4 linked regions of the Saccharomyces cerevisiae S288C genome follow. The main gene of each other region encodes a partner of the protein of the gene in region 4 in a complex. Each region holds a gene or a part of one and is shown on either strand. Other genes may lie near its edges. A codon is read from its position in the direction of its gene.

Region 1 (4,705 bases), on a different chromosome or scaffold from region 4:
TGGAGAAAATGTTCACCAGATTATTTCTTCAAATATTGGGCCAATTCTTCGATGGAGATCAAAGGAATGCCATGTTTCTTACCAAACGCTTGGCAGTCATTTAATCTCATCATAGTTCCTTGTTCGTCATCGTTAACCAATTCGCCAATAACAGCGACGGGACTTAGTCCACTTAGTTTACACAAATCGACACCGGCCTCAGTGTGGCCTCTTCTCTGCAAAACACCGCCATCAGCGGCTCTCAAGGGACAGATGTGCCCTGGTTTTAAAAATGATTTTGGCGTAGAGGAAGAGTCTGCAAGAGCCCTACAAGTCATCGACCTGTCGTGAGCAGAAATACCTGTGGTAGTGCCTTGGGCTACATCTACAGTTATTGTGTATGCAGTTCCATGCCTGTCGTCATCATTGGATTCAAACTTCATGCCTGTTCTCAGTAGTGGAAGGTCCAACTTATCAGCAATGGCATTCGTCATAGGTGCACAGACGTAGCCTGAGGAATGGCGTACAAGAAAGGCCATTTGTTCAGTGCTGACATTTTCAGCAGCGCAAATAAGATCACCTTCATTTTCACGACCGGCATCGTCCATAACAATTACAAACTTATTCTGCTTGAAGTGTTCTATAGCTTGATCAATTGGTGTAAACATTTTCGACGTTGCCTTTTCTTCTTTTCCTTTCCTTTTTTTTAGCCTTCTGCTTTTTGTTGGAGATATTTACATTCACCTCACATATATACGCCAATGAAAATTTCACAATAGCACGTATATTAATAATAGCCTTGCTTTTTTTTATCAATTCTCGCTAAGAAATTACTCATCAGGCAATAACCTATGCTCACCCGCCTCGAAGCGGCGTTAGGAGATAACAGTGGCCGTGTAGAGGGACGTCTTAGCATCGAAAGCCCAATTTACAACAACGAGGCGACCATCTGCACACCACACTTGACACCGTAGAGTGCGACTATTTTCCCCTCCATTGTTTTTTTCGAGCCAGCGTGCACGTAGTACGGGCCCCCCTAACAACAATGGCGCCCCTATGATAGCTTTCCCTGCTCGCGCGTCCCACAGCCGCACCGTCCAGTCCGTGGAACATGATAATAGAAGCATTAGCCGCCGAGCATCGTCCCAATGAAACTCTAACCCGGTTACCCTCGTAGAGTGGTTTTCTGCAGGTTGGAACCCATTGTTGTCCAAAGAGAGGTACAGCGGCCCAGGTTGGTCCCAGAAAACCTTGTATATACCACCGTCTTCGCCACCGATCCAGACGTACTGCGGGTCCTCACTCGTGTACGCCATGCAAGCTATACCTACCTCATCAAACTTTGCCAACCGCTGCAATCGCTCCGTATATGTGCAAGTATCATTCTCCAAAGATAAAAGCTGTGATAGCGGTACAGGACGGAGCTGCTGTGGCTTCCGCAAAACAGTCAAGTCCAGGCAGCTCAACTCCATAATATTGCCATTATCAGCTGCCACAAGTACTCTCTCTTGATCTTGCACGCTGCTTGTTTCAATTACAGCCACCACTGGGTGCTGAAAGTAGTGTCTTGCCACCATATTTCGCTGCACGACATACACTACCGGTGTTTCTGGCTTTTTCTGTTTCAATCTAAGCTCGTACAATATGATCTTGCCCGTCAAGGTCGCCAACAAGATTGATATTACATTGCTTTCCGGATGATACCGACGGAGGATCGTGGCTGTCATGATCCGCGTACCACGGAACTCTACCATATCTATCAAGAGGCCGTTGCGTCCGCTGGCATTATCGCACTTGACTACATTCACCACAGACCACGCCGCTTCGCTGCTAGCATACTGTAGGTCTGCCGGCGGCAATCGTAGATAAACCACAACCAAGACGCCTTTTCCTGGGTCATACTCCTGAGCGATACAATCGCAGTCTGTCTCTGATTGTAAATTCTCACTGACCATGTTCCATTGCATGAGGTTGTCTTTATCCTGTTGCATGTTCGATGGCGCCTGCTGGCCTGACGCAGAAACCTCTGTCTCCAGCCGCGCAAAACTAGCGTTGCTCAGCGTTGCCGCCGCCTCTTCAACAAGAAAAGGTTTGGCTAGTTCTAACCTTGGCTGGTCGTTTTCAGCTTTGTCTTTATTATTTTCGTCGGCAGCAGTAGTTTCAATGGCGACAGCATCAGTAGTGGTGTGATTTTCATTTTCTTGCAGTTGTTCTTCCTCAATTTGATCTGTTTGAATGCCTTTGTCGTATGTTATAACCTCCTTACGTCGAAGATATGCAGATTGGGGCTCTTGAATCTTTGAGCCTTCCTCCATGTCGGTCTGCACTGAAACGCTGACCATGGTTGCCTTAGCGTGCACCTCTGTGGGATGGTGGCCCATCGTCTCGCTCCCAGGGAACAAGCTGGCTTGTTTTCGCCTCTCACGCAGCTCTTTCAATTGTCTCCTTTTTTCCTCCAGTTGCTTCAATCGCTCCATCTTAATGTTTCAATCCTTCTTCCTCTTTGGTTGATTAACCAACTGTGATGCTCTTTTTTCCCTTTTCTCTTTGTTTACGGCAAAACACGAAAACTAGTTCATTTCTTTTTCTTTTCGCCTTGGACTAGTACTGAAAATTTCAATAGCATTATATTTGAGCCATAGGTAAGAAAAACCAAATTTGTTAGTATTGGGAAGGAGAATAAGATACCTGACTCGGTGATGGACATTAACATAGACGATATTCTTGCAGAACTGGATAAGGAAACTACTGCTGTCGACTCTACCAAGATCACGCAAGGTTCTTCTTCCACTACCCACAGAGATGCAAATACAATAGTGGGTTCGTCCTTAGACTTGAATGACAAGACTCAGATATATGTCTCTCCCCAGCAGGATTTTTCTGACTTGATGAAGTCTTGGAAAAATGAACGGTGTTCGCCAGAACTCTTACCATATCCTCATCAGTTGATGAAAAGATTATTGAATCGAATATCCATGCAATCTCAATTAATTGAAAACATTTCAATGGGATTCCTCGATATGCAAAATGCTTCTAATGCGAACCCGCCTATGCCTAACGAATCTAAATTGCCTTTACTCTGCATGGAAACTGAGTTAGAAAGATTGAAATTTGTTATTAGAAGCTACATACGATGTAGGCTAAGCAAAATTGACAAATTCTCACTTTATTTGCGCCAATTAAATGAAGATGAAAATTCGCTGATCTCTCTTACAGATTTACTATCCAAAGATGAAATCAAATACCATGACACGCATTCCCTGATCTGGTTGAAACTAGTCAATGATTCTATCCTGAAATACATGCCCGAAGAACTTCAGGCTATTAATGATACAGAAGGTAGCGTAAACATGATAGATGAGCCCGACTGGAACAAATTTGTCTTTATACACGTTAACGGCCCACCAGATGGTAAATGGAACGAAGATCCGCTATTGCAGGAAAACGAGTTCGGTAAACCTTGCTACACGGTCACAATACCCGATTTAAAGGAAGAGGTTGAACTCACTATTGGAAGTATTTACGTTATGAGATATGAAGTCATTAGGGATCTGCTGAGAGACGACAAAGTTGCTCTTATTTGAACTATTATGCATTACACTTTCCCCTTCACCATGTCTTACATATGCATATATATATATTATCAAGCACAGTTTCATTTTTCATCTGTCCGTGTCATGTTTTTCCGCATTTGTGTCGATCTTGCCAGCAATTTTGAGTAATTAGATGACGATCGGGTCTGCAACGAAGTGGGACGTTTTGTGTGAAGTGCGCCTTCTTCGGGTGTCTTTAAGATGCAACGGTCCGGTAAACCATTTATTAGCCTATTCGATTGAGGTACGGGAGGAGCTTGATTCTTTTTTTTTGTATTCTGTCTTTTTTGAAGAATGAACTTATCAAACATTTTATGGTCCGACTTCGGCGATACTACTTTAGGTTTGGCGGTCATTCCATTATGTATTAATTTCCATAGTTTCATTAAAACTGCTCTCTCTTTGCATCCTATGAAAATCGTCCTGGAACCGTCAATTTCAAGGACTTGATCACTTATAAAGCGTATCTTCTCAACGTCATTCAACTCTAGTTCGAATTGCAATTCAAATTCCTGTTCTTCCCACATGCTGAGACTTCTTCTCTTGACAAAAACAAGTGCTCTGCCTAGGTTTGTTATTAGAAACATTTTCTTGTAAAATTTGCCTGCACTATCAGTAGGAGGCTCGATATCAAGAGGGTTCTTGTAGTCCAGAGCCACGTTCTCAAGACCTACAGGTGAGTCCTCTAAGTTTCGTGTGGAAAGCGCTACCTCCTTCATCAACAAGACACGTTCATCCATATTTTGCAAGTAGCGTGACCAGAAGGCGTCAGAAGAGCGACTTCTATTATCTTTCCCCCGTGATGTAGTAGAAATTGAAGGAGATGATACAGATGCGCGATTTTTTGAAACCTTCTTTTGAATTACCTCGCGATCTGTGTTGTTGGAGGCAGATCTAACAGATGTGCTTGACTTGCTCCCCAATTTGGGTTGACTTGTATAATCTTTATTGAATGCGGCGGTTGCTGCAGTCATACTGATCACAGAATGCTCTTGAGAGGTCGCTGCTGGTGCTTGCAGGGGAGTATCTGCATGTCCATTACCAGCCAGCTGAAGGTTGGCCATTTTGACAGTGGTATCAGATTCAGAAACCTTTTGCAGGGGCTTCATCGCCTCTGCATTTATTTTATATGG
Region 2 (4,351 bases), on a different chromosome or scaffold from region 4:
GAACAAAAAGTTTAGAAGTTGGGATAGAATTATTGAATTTTATTTGAAGGATAAGAAGCCATTTATTACACCAATGAAAATTCTTAACAAAGATACAAACTTTAAAAACAACTACTTCTTTTTAGAGGAAATTATCAAACAATTGATAGAAGACGTTCAACTGTCGAGACCTTTGGCAAAAAATTTATTCGAAGATCCCCCAATAACCGATGGTTTTGTCAAACCAAAATCATACTATCATACCGATTATCTAGTATACATTGATTCCATTCTTTGTCAGGCTTCTAGCATGAGTCCGGACGTCAAGAGAGCTAAACTGGCTGCGCCGTTCTGTAAAAAGAGTTTGAGGCATTCACTAACACTAGAAACATGGAAACACTATCAGGATGCTAAGTCCGAGCAAAAACCTTTACCTGAGACGGTATTGAGTGATGTATGGAATTCCAATCCTCATTTGCTGATGTATATGGTAAACTCAATACTTAATAAAAGTAGGTCTAAACCTCATTCACAGTTCAAAAAGCAATTATATGACCAGATAAACAAATTTTTCCAAGATAACGGCCTCTCAGAGTCGACCAATCCATACGTGATGAAGAACTTCCGATTATTACAGAAACAATTACAAACCTATAAAGAGCATAAACATCGGAATTTCAACCAGCAATATTTCCAACAACAACAACAGCAGCAACAACACCAACGACATCAAGCACCCCCAGCAGCGCCTAACTACGACCCAAAAAAGGACTATTATAAAATTCTTGGAGTATCGCCTAGTGCTAGTTCGAAAGAAATAAGGAAAGCATATTTAAATTTAACCAAAAAATACCACCCAGACAAAATAAAGGCCAACCATAACGACAAACAAGAATCAATTCACGAAACTATGTCACAAATCAATGAAGCGTACGAAACATTAAGTGATGACGATAAAAGGAAGGAATACGATCTTTCCAGATCAAACCCCCGCCGCAACACTTTTCCTCAGGGGCCTAGGCAAAATAACATGTTCAAAAATCCAGGAAGTGGCTTCCCATTCGGAAATGGCTTTAAAATGAATTTTGGGCTTTGATGAAATACATTCTATGCCCATTAACTAGGATACCACAACAAGTACATATATATACATACGCATATCACTGAAAGTTCTAATTATTGCAAAGCCAGCACTTTTTTAAATATTGAATTCTTCTTCATCATTTTCAGTACCAGCGGTAAGAGATGCTGTGTGAATTTCTCGCAGTTTATCCATGATTTCAGTAATGAACGGCCTCAACTCATTGATTTCTAATAGACTTAAATTATCCAATTGTAAATGAGATTCATTCAAATACTTAAGGCCTTTTAACACTTTGATCTGCCTTATTTCCCTTAAGTCTTGTATTTTACCACGTAATTCGTGAATGGGGTCATGAAAATCATCCTTAGCTTTATTGAAAAGTATACGTGCCAAGACAAGCCAGTTCCACGGCAACTCACTAAACCTATCCGGATGAGTTTTCTCATATTGTATTTTTCTATCAAGCTCTTTCGTCGTTAACCACTGTGGTGCTACAATACTGCACTTGGATTGTTGCTTCAGTAATAGAGCGATCCAAAGAACCACTTCTGTAGAACGCATGGCTACCATATTATTTAAAGCTTTGTCATCTGTAGTAATAAGTTGCCAGCGGGTGTGGTTTCCAGTTCCTCTATCATCGCCACGAATTTTTTGGCGTGTTGTTATTCTGGGAAAAATCTTTATTGGCTCGTTTTCCACAATGAACTGTATTTCTTCTGGTGAGAAAGTCTGCTGCAAATGTGCCGGTAGTGACATGCGTCTATGAAACTAGTCTTATTTCAGATCAGCCGTTGATCCTCTCTAAGTATAAAACTCTTTTTTGTTAACCATTTCATAGTTACACTTTAGGCGACTGATTTTTCATTAAATGGAAAATATCACAAGAAATTTCACGCTGGAGAAAAAAAAGGTTAGTCATCACTGATCTTCCCATGGAGTCATAAGCACGTTCGACATAAATTGTGAAAGTTAACACATTTGAAGCTAGGACCGTCAATCTAGGACACTAGTCGGTTACTTTTATCATGTGGAGGAGAATATTCGCGCATGAACTCAAGTATGATCAACCCAATGCATCTTCAAAAAACTTGATCCTTTCAGTTCTGAATACAACCGCTACAAAACGAGAGGCTAAGGATTATCTCTCAAAATATACAAATGATAGTGGGCAGCATAATCATTGTTTGTTTTTTATCAGGGACCTGCATAAAGTCGCACCAGCGATTTTGTCCCAGTTTTCAAGTGTCATAAAGAGACTAGGAATGCTAGGTTTGCGACCTATGTTTGTAATTCCGCCGTCGCCAACTCATGTAAATATACAGGCAGAGTTACTTGACAGTATCGTTACAGAAGCAGATTTAAAGCCACTTCACCTTAAGGAGGGTCTTACTAAATCCCGCACTGGGTTATATCATTCTGTTTTTTCGCAAGAGAGTCGTTTCTTTGATATTGGAAATTCCAATTTTATACCAATTGTGAAACCTTATGTGTATAATGAAGAGACTGCTTCAGAATTCATGACAAAGGATGTTGTAAAATTTATGGATTGCCTGTGCCAAGGGAATATTCCACACATTGACAAATTCTTCATTCTAAATAATGCCGGAGGTATACCTTCGGGAGAGAGAAATGATAACGCTCATGTATTCATCAATCTTTCTCAGGAACTCGAGCATTTGTCCTCGTCATTATCTCACAATATAAGCACTCTAACCAAACGAGAGCCACGCTCCCAAAACCTGTTACACAGAATGGAGGTGTACGTTAAAAAAGATGAGATATCTTCCTTAGAATGTGAATACCATGATCATTTAGAAAACCTGTTATTGATGGACAAAGTTTTATCAAATCTAGCGGCTACAGCAACGGGACTGATTACAACTGTCAAAGCTGCCGCACTATCATCAGATAGGAAAAATCCTTTAGTATATAATTTATTGACAGACCGATCGCTAATTTCTTCTTCTTTACCAAGGTTTAAAAAAAAGGACGGCGAGATAGACTCACCAGCCAACATGTTTGATGATCACGCATGGTATGAATTGCCTTCCCAACAGGTAAATGCAGCTCCTTCTAACTCAGATGCAGTTTTAGTGACAACTGTTCTCAAAAAGGGCGTCCATATCAAAACTTATGACTATAAGACGCTGACTCAATTCAACTCAATTGGGCTTCCAAAGAAGTTTCACGTACCTGAGAAAGGAGCAAAACCCTCGAGCAATAGTCCAAAACTAGATATCAACAAATTTAAATCCATCATCGATCAGAGCTTTAAAAGATCTTTGGATTTGCATGACTACATAAAAAGGATTAATGGAAAAATAGCTACAATTATTGTGATAGGTGATTATGAAGGCATTGCAATTCTTACCTATGAAGGCTCGGAGGAAAATTCCTTTGTTTATCTCGATAAGTTCGCCGTTCTACCACACTTGAAAGGCTCGCTGGGTATATCTGATATAATCTTCAATTTGATGTTCAAAAAATTTCCTAATGAGATACTTTGGAGAAGCAGAAAAGACAATGTGGTGAACAAGTGGTATTTTCAACGTAGCGTTGCTGTGCTAGATTTGTCGATTGACTTAGACCCCGAACACTGTGATGAAAAGCAAAGCCAATTTAAACTATTTTACTACGGTAACCCTCAATACGCTAAGAGGGCACTACGTGACAAGAAACGTTTAAGAGAATTCATGAGGTCTGTCAGGGACATCAAGCCAAGTTGGGAAAATGAAAAAAATATTTCATGAAACAAAGACGCATTCTCCTCCTCCTTAACTTTCAAGTTTTCATTTTCAGTTTTTAAGGTATCTATATAAATATATATATCTTACTATGCAAAGTTGTTGATATTTCACTTTACCCTACCAAATGGAGTTAATTACTCCAAAGTGATCCCGAACGAAGTTCCACTCTTGATCCAATGTCTCCTTTCTATATCTTCTTCTAATCATCGGAACGTTGTGCTTTATCGAGGTATCTTTCGCTGTATCGTACCAATTATCTATCCCACCCACGTTCTCCTCAAAGTAAGGCGCCTTTTTAACTCCAACGCCAATCCAATGAGCCTTGTACCAACCTTCATAGCCACTAGATAGCACACTTGTTCTCGACAACTCGCACAAATCTGTTGGGTTCAGCAAGTAAATACTTGCTGCTACACTGTATTCTTCAATGAGAGGTTCTAGCGTGTATGAACTATTGTAAAGAATCGATTTTGATGATAAAGAAATTTTTAGTCCCATCTTAAACATTTTCATGAAAGGATTTGTCTCATATGATCTTTGT
Region 3 (4,795 bases), on a different chromosome or scaffold from region 4:
AGGTGTGAGAGTTTTTTAATATGCTTATTCTTTTTTGTCCGTATTTTACCATCATCTTTACTTAATTCGATAGAGAAATTGTCAAAGCTTGGCGGGAAATCGGATTGTGATTCACTAACTTTATGTAGTAAATAACCCTGTAATAAGATTAATTCAGGAAAATCCGATCTAAATTGCGCAAAACTAAGCTTAATTATTTCCTTTTTGAAATATCTTTTCGCATATTGAAAAAATTCTTCGTCATTAATAATCATTAGGGATAAATTTAAAAGTTTTTTAAAGTATTCATTGATTGGTACCGTAGTATTGTCATTACTTTTAGAATTGGACAGAAGAAACTCAATATCATCCTGGTATTTTATTGTATCTCCCATATTTTTTAATTCGTTGTAGTGATTTGTTGAAGTTAATCCTTCTTTTTCAGCATTACTGTTGTCAGCGTTATTTAGGGACAAGGTGTTAGCTTTCTGATCTACCTCTTCTCCCATTATTTCATTTTCTTTATTTTTGTTTATTAATATTGTTCTAAATTTGCCATATTTTTTGTCTTTGGATGTGCGTATGCTATTATTCTCTATAGAGTCGTCCATCTTCATCTCATTTTCAAGCATTTTATTCAGTATATCATCGTCAGCTCTCGGTAGCTTCAATATGAATTCATTGATGTCATTGTATATTTTCCTTATTGATTCAAATTCATTGTGCATTGTAATGCTGTCTTCATCTTGTACGTCTGGTTCAATTGAAGACGTTATGTTCGCATCATGCTTTTGGTAAGTTCTTCTTCTTTTTCTCTTAGATGCCTTTGAACCATCAAGGAAATTAAAGGCACTTAACTTTTCATCTTTCATAAATGCCATTGAGGTATCACTGCTAGTGATAATTTTGACGTTTTGGTCATTCCTTTTTGAGTCCAGTTGTGAAGAGGGCTTCTCATTTGCACCATCAAATGACGACGAGCTGTCCTGAGCCTTTCTAGGCTCGTCCAATAATCCCTCTATCGGGTGGTCTGCAATACTGCTCGAAATGGTAGAACTTACATCAGGAATCACGGAGTTTACATCGTCATCACTAAATTCAACATCGGAAGAAGATGGCAAGCCTTTATTAGATCTAAAAGGAGTTCTGAGAACTGGGCCCCTCTTTCCATATGCTCTCATTTTTTCAGAAACAGGATGCTTTAGGGTAAGAAGATGGTTTCGTTTTGCGATAGTTTCTCTGCGCAGTTTTTCATTATTATAATAAAGTGAAGCTTCGTCATCAATAAAGTCGCGTAAAGCTCAGAAAGCCTCCTCAACCAAAACTTACGAAATCTATTAAAAAGGGCTGAAGTAAACATAGAAGGGAGTAAATTAGAATGGAGGTATGTATCTTGCTTTATAAAGGATTATATATCATGAAGACCAGCTTGAAAGCATTTTATCATATCTTCTGCAAATAACCTTGTTGAATCAAACGCTCTACATCAGACTGCCTTACGAAAAACTGGGAGTCTTTAATAAGGTTAAACACGCCGTATTCAGTTTGAATCTCACCAGCATCTTTGAGCACTCTAACATCAATAAATACATCGCTCGGAGGCACTAAAGAGCCGGATAAATCAATATCGACCAAGTCACCACTTTTTAAATCAGTAATTAAATCGCAGTATTCTTTCAAATATTCCTGCTCTTGATGAGAAAGGTTATTTGTGTCTTGTTGGCTAAACGTAATGCTACTCATCAAGTCCAGACCATTATTATTCCAAGCCATAGAATCTAGTATGTCTGTTCTCAACCTTTGGTATGCTAAGAGACATCTCTTGTTCCTTTCCATACATAACAAGGTAACGAAATACTGGCATTTAGCCACCTTATCATCTAGCATTCCTAGTTGCTGCTGTTCTTTAAGATATTCCGTATTTTTACGTAAATTTGAAACTTCTTTCAGAATATTTCGTATTATATCTTCATGATACATGGGTAAATTAACATCTTGATTACTTCTTGCGTACAGCTGTTTTGTTCTTTTAGCTTCTAATACTAATTTATTACCTAAATCTCCATACATGATTCTCTGTGAGCATGGCCGTTTATAAACGATTTTCCCTCACATCTATTTTTCAGCTTTCTTCGTTAGTTATTTTAAATTACAATTTTCGCGTTGTAACGACAAGAAGGTTTTGAGCAAATCTGACGTTTCGACTTTAAAGAAAACAAAAAGGTTTGATTAAAGACTAGTAACAAAGATATTTAAATTAAAGTTAAAGATCTATACTATAAATTCTAGTCATGCTTCAAGGTTTCGGCGAAAACAGCAGCTGGCTTGGTACCAGTCTTTTCAGCCTTCTTGGAACCTAGCTTTTCAGCAGCAAAGACCTTGGCGTAAGGGTTCAATCTCAACAAAACTTGCTTGTTCTTCAATGGGTTCTTCTTCAAAACGTGAGTACGCTTTTGAGTAGCTTGGCCAGCTGGTCTGATAGCAGATTGGATTTCAGAAGAGTTGATAATTCTGGTGACATCAGAAGTGGAGATGATGTGGGATGGCAAAGTGTAACCGACCTTGGAGGAGGCAACGGTTTCGGAACCCCAGACTTGGTCCAACTTGGTGAAAGCAGCTTCGGTCCAGATAACGAATCTACCCAAGTGAGCACCTGGAGCCAATTGCAACAAGTTCAAAGAAGCAACGTTGGCAGTTTCAACACCTGGAACGTTTCTCAAGGCCTTGACGATACCGTTGTCTTCAGCGTAGACAACTAATGGACCTCTTCTTTGAGTCCATCTTCTGTTTCTGTACTTACCCTTACCGGCTCTCAATTTCTTGGACTTCAAGACCTTCAACAAGTCGGAGTGAGCACCAACAGCCTTCAAAGCAGCAACAGCTTCCTTGGTCTTTTGAATAGATTCCAAGTCAGTGGAGACAACCAATGGGATTTCTGGAATCTTTTCGACTCTGTGACCTCTGGCCAAGACCAAAGAAGCAACAGCAGTAGCAGCAATAGCAGAAGCAGTGGCGTAACGCTTTTCGTTGTGGTTAACCTTAACGTTCCACTTTCTCCAGGTCTTAGTTGGAGCAAACATACGACCACCACGACACATGTTACCGAAGGCACCTTGACCGGATCTACCGGTACCACCACCACCAACTCTTGGAATACGAGCGACGGCACGACCGGTACCCCAGGATTCAGCGGAGGTTTGGTGACCAGCCTTTTCAGAAACAGCGTAAGCTTGTCTCTTGTTCTTGTTCACAGAGGTGAAAACAGTGTGGACAATGTCAGGACGGATAGGAGCGGAGAAGACAGCTGGCAATGGCAAGGCATTGGCAGTAGCTTCACCAGTCAAAGAGTGAACAGTAACTTGTGGACGGGACATTATTATTGGTATATACCCTAGTAAATGACTATGAATATGTAAGCGATTGCTGATAGGAAAGAAATATTATTTTCAATAATAATAGTAGTGTAACGTATTCATGATCTTCATGAAAACTTTTCCAGAGTACTTGAAAAAAAAAAAATGTTAAAAAAATTGCGTCTGCGCGATGCTTTCGTAAATAATTATATTTCTAACGGAATAGACAATTCATGCCTTCAGTGCAGTTCTTAGCAATATGCGCAGTTGTTTTATAATTCAGATACGCTGAGGAAAGCGCTTCTAAATTGTTATTTTCCCATTTGTTCCAATCTATCAAAACTAACGTTATCTATATTCAAAAATTCCTGTAAGATGAATACCGTTACGATAAATAAGGCAGGACTTACGGAACATGTAGGGTCCGGATAAGGGTTGCTTTATTGCGAAATGTTCTTATAGTGCAACCCTTAATAGAGTTATGAAAACTTTTCATAAAACAGAAAATTTTTATCACTCTTTTCAACCAAGCTGTCGAATGAACTATGCAGAAAAAAAGAATAATAAAAAATTACAATTTGGTAATTGGGAGAGGTCGCTGCATGCACTTCTTAAGACAAAAATAAGTTTACTCATTTTCTAAGTTGGTCAGCTGTAATCTATCGTGGTCATTTCTTGTTCTCACTTCTTTCGAATATTATTTCTGAAAAATACTGCTGCAATATAGTATATGTTGTTCAATCACAAAGCTCCAGGGTATGACTTGCCACAATAGTGATTTGCAAATATAAGCAGACATTAGTGGGCAAGTTAACCGTTTAGCAACACTATTGTTTCTACTGGATGTCTTTCCTTTGAGTAATATAGAATGACCTTCCTAAATAGAATAAGACACAGAAACTGTGGTATGGAGGCTGTTGTTTTCCTGTGTCCAATTTTTTTATTTTCTTTTGTCTAAAGAAGGGACAGGACAGGTAAGGGTTGACAGGCCAGATAATTTACCAAGTTTTGTTAATCATATGAAAGGGATATAAAAATGAAACAAAATAGAAAAAATGTAGAAACACTAAATTTGAAGTTCAATTTTGGTGACCAGTTTGAGGAGCCTCAGTTTTTTTGTCTTATTCTTTTCGTTTAGCTTGTACTTGCAACACCTTGCTTAGATCGTAATCCAATATTTTGAGTCGAAACCCAAGGGTAAAATAAACTTTTTTACTCAACAAGACTTGACTTTTGAAAACTACGAGAGTTATACACAATGTAACTATTAACATGGTAATACAAGACTTTTTTTTTGTATCTATTATAAACTATACTTATTGTTAATTATATGAATGTCAGTATAAAAGTGAAACGAGATGTACTCGTGTCTTCTTCTATAGTGTAAAATGAGAATTAAGAATTAAAGGCAGATGAATGCACAAAATGTTAAGTTATCTGAAGCCCACATTACTGCTTCTTTT
Region 4 (3,941 bases):
GAAGTAGCTGTTGCTGTGGAGTCAATGGTGCTGTCATCGATATTCTAGCGTTGAAGGGGGTTGGATTGATGTTTGCACTTAAAGCCTGCTGTTTTCTTTTTTCTTTATTTATTCTCCATTGTTCAATAAATTTCAGCCTGCTAAATTGATTATTATCGTTACCCATGGTAGATCCCACTGCAGCCGCAGCCGCTGCCGCTGCCAAAGCTACTTGATTGCCATTAGCCAAACTGTTATTCCTTGTATTTGATGCGGAATTCGAAGTTGAGGACGAAGCTCCACGTACCCCGTTGGAACTGGAGCTAGCAATCTCCATCGCATTCTTGGTTAACGAAACAGCAAACGTGGAGTTGGTTATCGTTGTTGTGCGTTCATTCATGATCAACATCAACTGTTCATAATTTGAACTATGTTGCGGAAATTCATCGCGTTCTTCGATATGCCCTACAACGCCCTTCGTGCCTTCTCTCGTAGACTCAGCACGATGTTCGTGAATGAAGGATTTTTTTTCACTATCCCAATGAGGTTCTGAAAAAGCTGTTTCCTCCAACATGTCTCGGTGCTCATATGGATTTAATGGCACACTTAGTGACAAGTTCCTCTTGGTAAGTGTTAAAATTTCAGATTCAAACTGTTGATAAATGCTATCAGAAAACCTGGCATTATCTGCATAAGACATCATGTCATAATACGTCGTCAAATCATTAGGCTTCAACAATGTTCGATATACTCTAGGTCGTTTGAAGGATGCCTTCTTATTTGCTGTGTTTGCGCCTGTATTTGCCACACCACTATTAGGTTCGGATGGTTGTTGAATCTTGGAATTGTCCTGTGTGCTATTATTATTTGAAGGGGAAGAAGAGCTGTTCAAATTAGGCTTGTTCTCTTTGGGGGTGACATCAACTGTATTAGTATGGTCATAAACCTGTAAAATAAGATTTCCTTCGTAAAATTGGATATTACAGTCCCTTAAGACTTCCATAATAGCATCAGGAATCCTTCCTCTTGCGACGTACTCTAAAAATTCTTTCAAAGTTTCGTTATTTTTGGTTAATATTAAACCGTCACTAGTCAGCTCGGGTTGCTTTTGCTGCTGTTGTAACCTGCTATTTGCAGGAGCGCAAATCTTATAATTATTCTCATAAATATGAAATTCAAAACTGTGTAAATATTGCTCATATTTTTTCAAAATTGAGTCTGCATCTTCCACAAAATTGTAAAGTCTTTTAGGTCTTTTGTTTAAGGTCATAAGCATTTGATAAAACTGAGCCTCATAGTTTTGGAGTGCTTGCTGTTTTCTCTGTTGTTCGAGTAGTCTTTGCTGTAGTAATAATCGTTGTCTTTGCTGCAATTGCTGTATTTGCTCCCTGGTTAAAGTCCTAGTACCTTCATTGGCATTACTATTACTGTTTGTCCTCATAACAGGATGATTTACATTTGCTACCGCTGGGTTCATAGGAGGTGGTACATTAACTGGACTGCCTGGCGAACCCATATTGGATGGTGTTGCGTTCACAGGAATACCAAATACATGGGGATCGTTTCCTGTCGGGCTATTGGCACTCATCCCTGAAATATATAGGCGCAAATTAACCGTAACTATTCCTTCCTAATCCTCTTGAAGGCTACTTTTCTCATTCTTTTATCTCTGCTGGTCGATCATCTTAACACTTCTTCATGATTAATGGTCGTCAGGTATCACGAGCGGGTAACAGAACTAAGCAGTTATAGCGATCCCAGTTTTACTTTAAAGATAGTTAGTTAGTTATTAATGGTGCGGATAACAAGAACTATTGTCACTCAGAATCTTATACAGGTATGGACATGGAACATTGGGTCATATACATAAGAAATAAATTATAAAGAAGGGTCGAATCAAACATAAGCGGAGAATAGCCAAATAAAAAAAAAAGATGAAAAGAAAGCTATGTAGCTTTCCACATGTCTTGCATACCAAGGATAGATGTGACAACACCGGATAGCGCAACATACTCTTCGTTGCTAGACAAGTACCCTAGGTTGTTGAGGACGATGAACGAATCTGCAGCATCCCAGAATAGTCTTCTTAACGCGGTGTACCTGTCTTGGTATGCCTTCCCTAGTACCTTCTTGTGATCCTCATGCTCATCGCCTTGGCTTTGTGATTTTGCCTTGACAAACGCAGCAATCTGGGCATGAGATGTTTGGATCTTACGAAGATCCATAGCCAGACCACTTAGGAGGCCGAACAGCCAACACCAATTGGACCAGCGAGGTATTTTCTTACCGGTAAGAACGGTTACAGGAATCACTTTCAAAATTCTCAAAAGATTGACTTGATCTAACGACAAATATGCAGCAAAGAAGATGTTTTTCAAAACATTGCAGACTCTAACGACGTTGTCGCTGGCCAACTTGTTATCGTAGAATTTAGCAGCTGCCTGCAAGTGGTTTAAAGGCTTCAGAAACCTCAGAAATTTTCTGACTGTGGTAAATTGAGCTTGTAATTGCCTGGCCAAGAGAGATGAGTTCTGTACTGCTAAAAATCTTGCTAAATACTGCAGTAATCTGAGAACCTTTTCTCTGCCAGCTGAGCCATCTAGAAATTTGACGAATCTCGTCACGGAGGGATGATATACCAGTGTATCACAGACCATATTGATTATACTATTACTTGATGAAGTCTTTGAAGTAGTAGATGGAGACAACGGTTTTTCAGTTGTTGGAGTCACTTCCCTTTTATATCTATAAATGATATACCCATCGCTTCGGGTTCTCCGAGATAAATGCCGACGCGTAGTGAAAATCGCAATGGAATTGATGCCAACTTTGTTCTTGGTATTATATTTTTACAATAGAAGGGCAAGCATAGAAAGGATGGGTTACTATGACATTGATGATGTCCTAGCAGATGGGACAGAGTTTCCTTGTAAATTTCAATATGATATTCCTGGTCTTGGTTATTTGGAAAACAACCCAGGACGACCCATAACGAAAAACACTAAACTAAGCCTGCCACTATGGTTAGCAAGAATCCTTGCAATTGTGGGTGGTGACGAAGCCTTGGTAGATGAAGAACCTGTACCTTTTGTGGAACTCCTGCCACCAGATATGTTTTCTACGAAAGTTATGAACGCTATAAAGACCGATCCGGTGGCTCTGGACTTGCATTCCATAAATTCGCATTTCTTCAGTCTAGCCATAAAATGGATAATGTTGTTTAGCGAAAAAGAACTGGCCAATGTCGTTAGTGAGCTACTTTTGCAACGTGCCCAAGAACTTAATCATCATGCTAGTAGTTTATCGATTGATCTCAATGCAGACTCGACCGGAAAAAATTCAGCGAACACTAATATAGCAACTAGCACATTTTTACTGAAACTAGAAGAAATGGAGAAGGAGATATATAAAAAGTCTCATGAATCTTATAAGGACACGAAAAGGTGGATGTTTAAAAAATAACACATCTTTTTCTTTAGAAATACACTATATAAAATAACTATAAAAAAAAGGCAACAGTATAATATTAAGTTTCTTTAAAAGTCTTGATTCTAACCCTCGCCTCTTCTTAGAACAATCCGTCGTTATCATCATTATCATTGTTTTCGTCGTTGTCATCGTTTTTATTTTGTTCCGAACCGCTCATTTGAGCTTCTTCCTCATCACTATCTTCAATAAATTCATTCGATAGTTGAGATTTTTTGCCCTTATTGTGAGAAGGCTTTTTCACCACATCATCGTCATCCTCGTCGCTGTCGGAAAGAGTTTTTTTAGCAGCTTTCCTTCTCTTAGATTCACCGCTATTTTTAGTTTTTGTTGACCTCTTTCTTTTTTGTCTTGGCTTTTCTTCGTCATATTCATTGTCTTTATCAGACAGATCTGAATCATCTTTAACATTATGTTCACTTATGGCCATGGCTTCTCGCTCCTGGATTAACTTTTGTGCCTCATCTTGTAGTTTC

The links.
Region 1: PSF3 (region 4) and SLD5 share a complex: the UniProt entries of both Saccharomyces cerevisiae proteins name them as parts of the GINS complex.
Region 2: the proteins of PSF3 (region 4) and PSF2 are in contact, whole or in part, in a cryo-EM structure (PDB 3JC5), measured with the Saccharomyces cerevisiae proteins. Residues at the interface, in NP_014495.2 of Saccharomyces cerevisiae: Ile109 (codon at 3,181), Ile112 (codon at 3,190), Met113 (codon at 3,193), Glu117 (codon at 3,205), Lys118 (codon at 3,208), Ala121 (codon at 3,217), Ser125 (codon at 3,229), Leu128 (codon at 3,238), Leu129 (codon at 3,241), Ala132 (codon at 3,250), Gln133 (codon at 3,253), Leu135 (codon at 3,259), Asn136 (codon at 3,262), His137 (codon at 3,265), Ser140 (codon at 3,274), Met172 (codon at 3,370), Ile176 (codon at 3,382), Lys179 (codon at 3,391), Ser180 (codon at 3,394), Ser183 (codon at 3,403), Tyr184 (codon at 3,406), Asp186 (codon at 3,412), Thr187 (codon at 3,415), Trp190 (codon at 3,424), Met191 (codon at 3,427), Phe192 (codon at 3,430), Lys193 (codon at 3,433); in NP_012463.1 of Saccharomyces cerevisiae: Gln9 (codon at 1,795), Ser12 (codon at 1,786), Pro13 (codon at 1,783), Glu14 (codon at 1,780), Gln17 (codon at 1,771), Leu120 (codon at 1,462), Val121 (codon at 1,459), Arg124 (codon at 1,450), Arg149 (codon at 1,375), Gln153 (codon at 1,363), Leu157 (codon at 1,351), Leu160 (codon at 1,342), Lys161 (codon at 1,339), Leu163 (codon at 1,333), Leu176 (codon at 1,294), Asn179 (codon at 1,285), Glu180 (codon at 1,282), Leu181 (codon at 1,279), Pro183 (codon at 1,273), Phe184 (codon at 1,270), Glu187 (codon at 1,261), Ile188 (codon at 1,258), Lys191 (codon at 1,249), Leu192 (codon at 1,246), Glu194 (codon at 1,240), Ile195 (codon at 1,237), Ala198 (codon at 1,228), Ser199 (codon at 1,225).
Region 3: the proteins of PSF3 (region 4) and PSF1 are in contact, whole or in part, in a cryo-EM structure (PDB 3JC5), measured with the Saccharomyces cerevisiae proteins. Residues at the interface, in NP_014495.2 of Saccharomyces cerevisiae: Tyr3 (codon at 2,863), Tyr4 (codon at 2,866), Asp5 (codon at 2,869), Ile6 (codon at 2,872), Asp7 (codon at 2,875), Val9 (codon at 2,881), Leu10 (codon at 2,884), Asp12 (codon at 2,890), Gly13 (codon at 2,893), Asp23 (codon at 2,923), Ile24 (codon at 2,926), Pro25 (codon at 2,929), Gly26 (codon at 2,932), Gly28 (codon at 2,938), Tyr29 (codon at 2,941), Trp49 (codon at 3,001), Leu50 (codon at 3,004), Ile53 (codon at 3,013), Leu54 (codon at 3,016), Val57 (codon at 3,025), Gly58 (codon at 3,028), Phe71 (codon at 3,067), Glu171 (codon at 3,367), Lys185 (codon at 3,409); in NP_010296.3 of Saccharomyces cerevisiae: Met1 (codon at 2,049), Tyr2 (codon at 2,046), Gly3 (codon at 2,043), Asn7 (codon at 2,031), Val10 (codon at 2,022), Leu11 (codon at 2,019), Ala13 (codon at 2,013), Lys14 (codon at 2,010), Lys17 (codon at 2,001), Arg22 (codon at 1,986), Lys66 (codon at 1,854), Val67 (codon at 1,851), Lys69 (codon at 1,845), Cys70 (codon at 1,842), Gln71 (codon at 1,839), Phe73 (codon at 1,833), Val74 (codon at 1,830), Leu77 (codon at 1,821), Cys78 (codon at 1,818), Arg81 (codon at 1,809), Arg84 (codon at 1,800), Cys85 (codon at 1,797), Leu87 (codon at 1,791), Ala88 (codon at 1,788), Arg91 (codon at 1,779), Leu92 (codon at 1,776).

The regions. Positions count from the first base shown.
Region 1 is NC_001136.10:1,428,334-1,433,038, forward strand, and holds SLD5 (DNA replication protein SLD5), read left to right. Parts: upstream 1-2,678; coding exon 2,679-3,563; downstream 3,564-4,705. Other genes in the region: 3,4-dihydroxy-2-butanone-4-phosphate synthase RIB3, read right to left, coding at 21-647; PAC11 (dynein intermediate chain), read right to left, coding at 855-2,456; serine/threonine protein kinase PKH1, read right to left, coding at 3,635-4,705. UniProt on the Saccharomyces cerevisiae protein: Required for DNA replication. Functions as part of the GINS complex which plays an essential role in the initiation of DNA replication by binding to DNA replication origins and facilitating the assembly of the DNA replication machinery.
Region 2 is NC_001142.9:304,044-308,394, forward strand, and holds PSF2 (DNA replication protein PSF2), read right to left. Parts: upstream 1,820-4,351; coding exon 1,178-1,819; downstream 1-1,177. Other genes in the region: JEM1 (Jem1p), read left to right, coding at 1-1,075; ARG2 (acetyl-CoA:L-glutamate N-acetyltransferase), read left to right, coding at 2,089-3,813; YJL070C (metallo-dependent hydrolase superfamily protein), read right to left, coding at 3,928-4,351. UniProt on the Saccharomyces cerevisiae protein: Functions as part of the GINS complex which plays an essential role in the initiation of DNA replication by binding to DNA replication origins and facilitating the assembly of the DNA replication machinery.
Region 3 is NC_001136.10:470,411-475,205, reverse strand, and holds PSF1 (DNA replication protein PSF1), read right to left. Parts: upstream 2,050-4,795; coding exon 1,423-2,049; downstream 1-1,422. Other genes in the region: RAD61 (Rad61p), read right to left, coding at 1-1,160; 60S ribosomal protein uL4 RPL4B, read right to left, coding at 2,265-3,353; ATP-binding cassette transporter SNQ2, read right to left, coding at 4,782-4,795. UniProt on the Saccharomyces cerevisiae protein: Required for DNA replication. Functions as part of the GINS complex which plays an essential role in the initiation of DNA replication by binding to DNA replication origins and facilitating the assembly of the DNA replication machinery.
Region 4 is NC_001147.6:46,008-49,948, forward strand, and holds PSF3 (DNA replication protein PSF3), read left to right. Parts: upstream 1-2,856; coding exon 2,857-3,441; downstream 3,442-3,941. Other genes in the region: SPT20 (Spt20p), read right to left, coding at 1-1,567; PEX11 (Pex11p), read right to left, coding at 1,926-2,636; CTR9 (Ctr9p), read right to left, coding at 3,548-3,941. UniProt on the Saccharomyces cerevisiae protein: Functions as part of the GINS complex which plays an essential role in the initiation of DNA replication by binding to DNA replication origins and facilitating the assembly of the DNA replication machinery.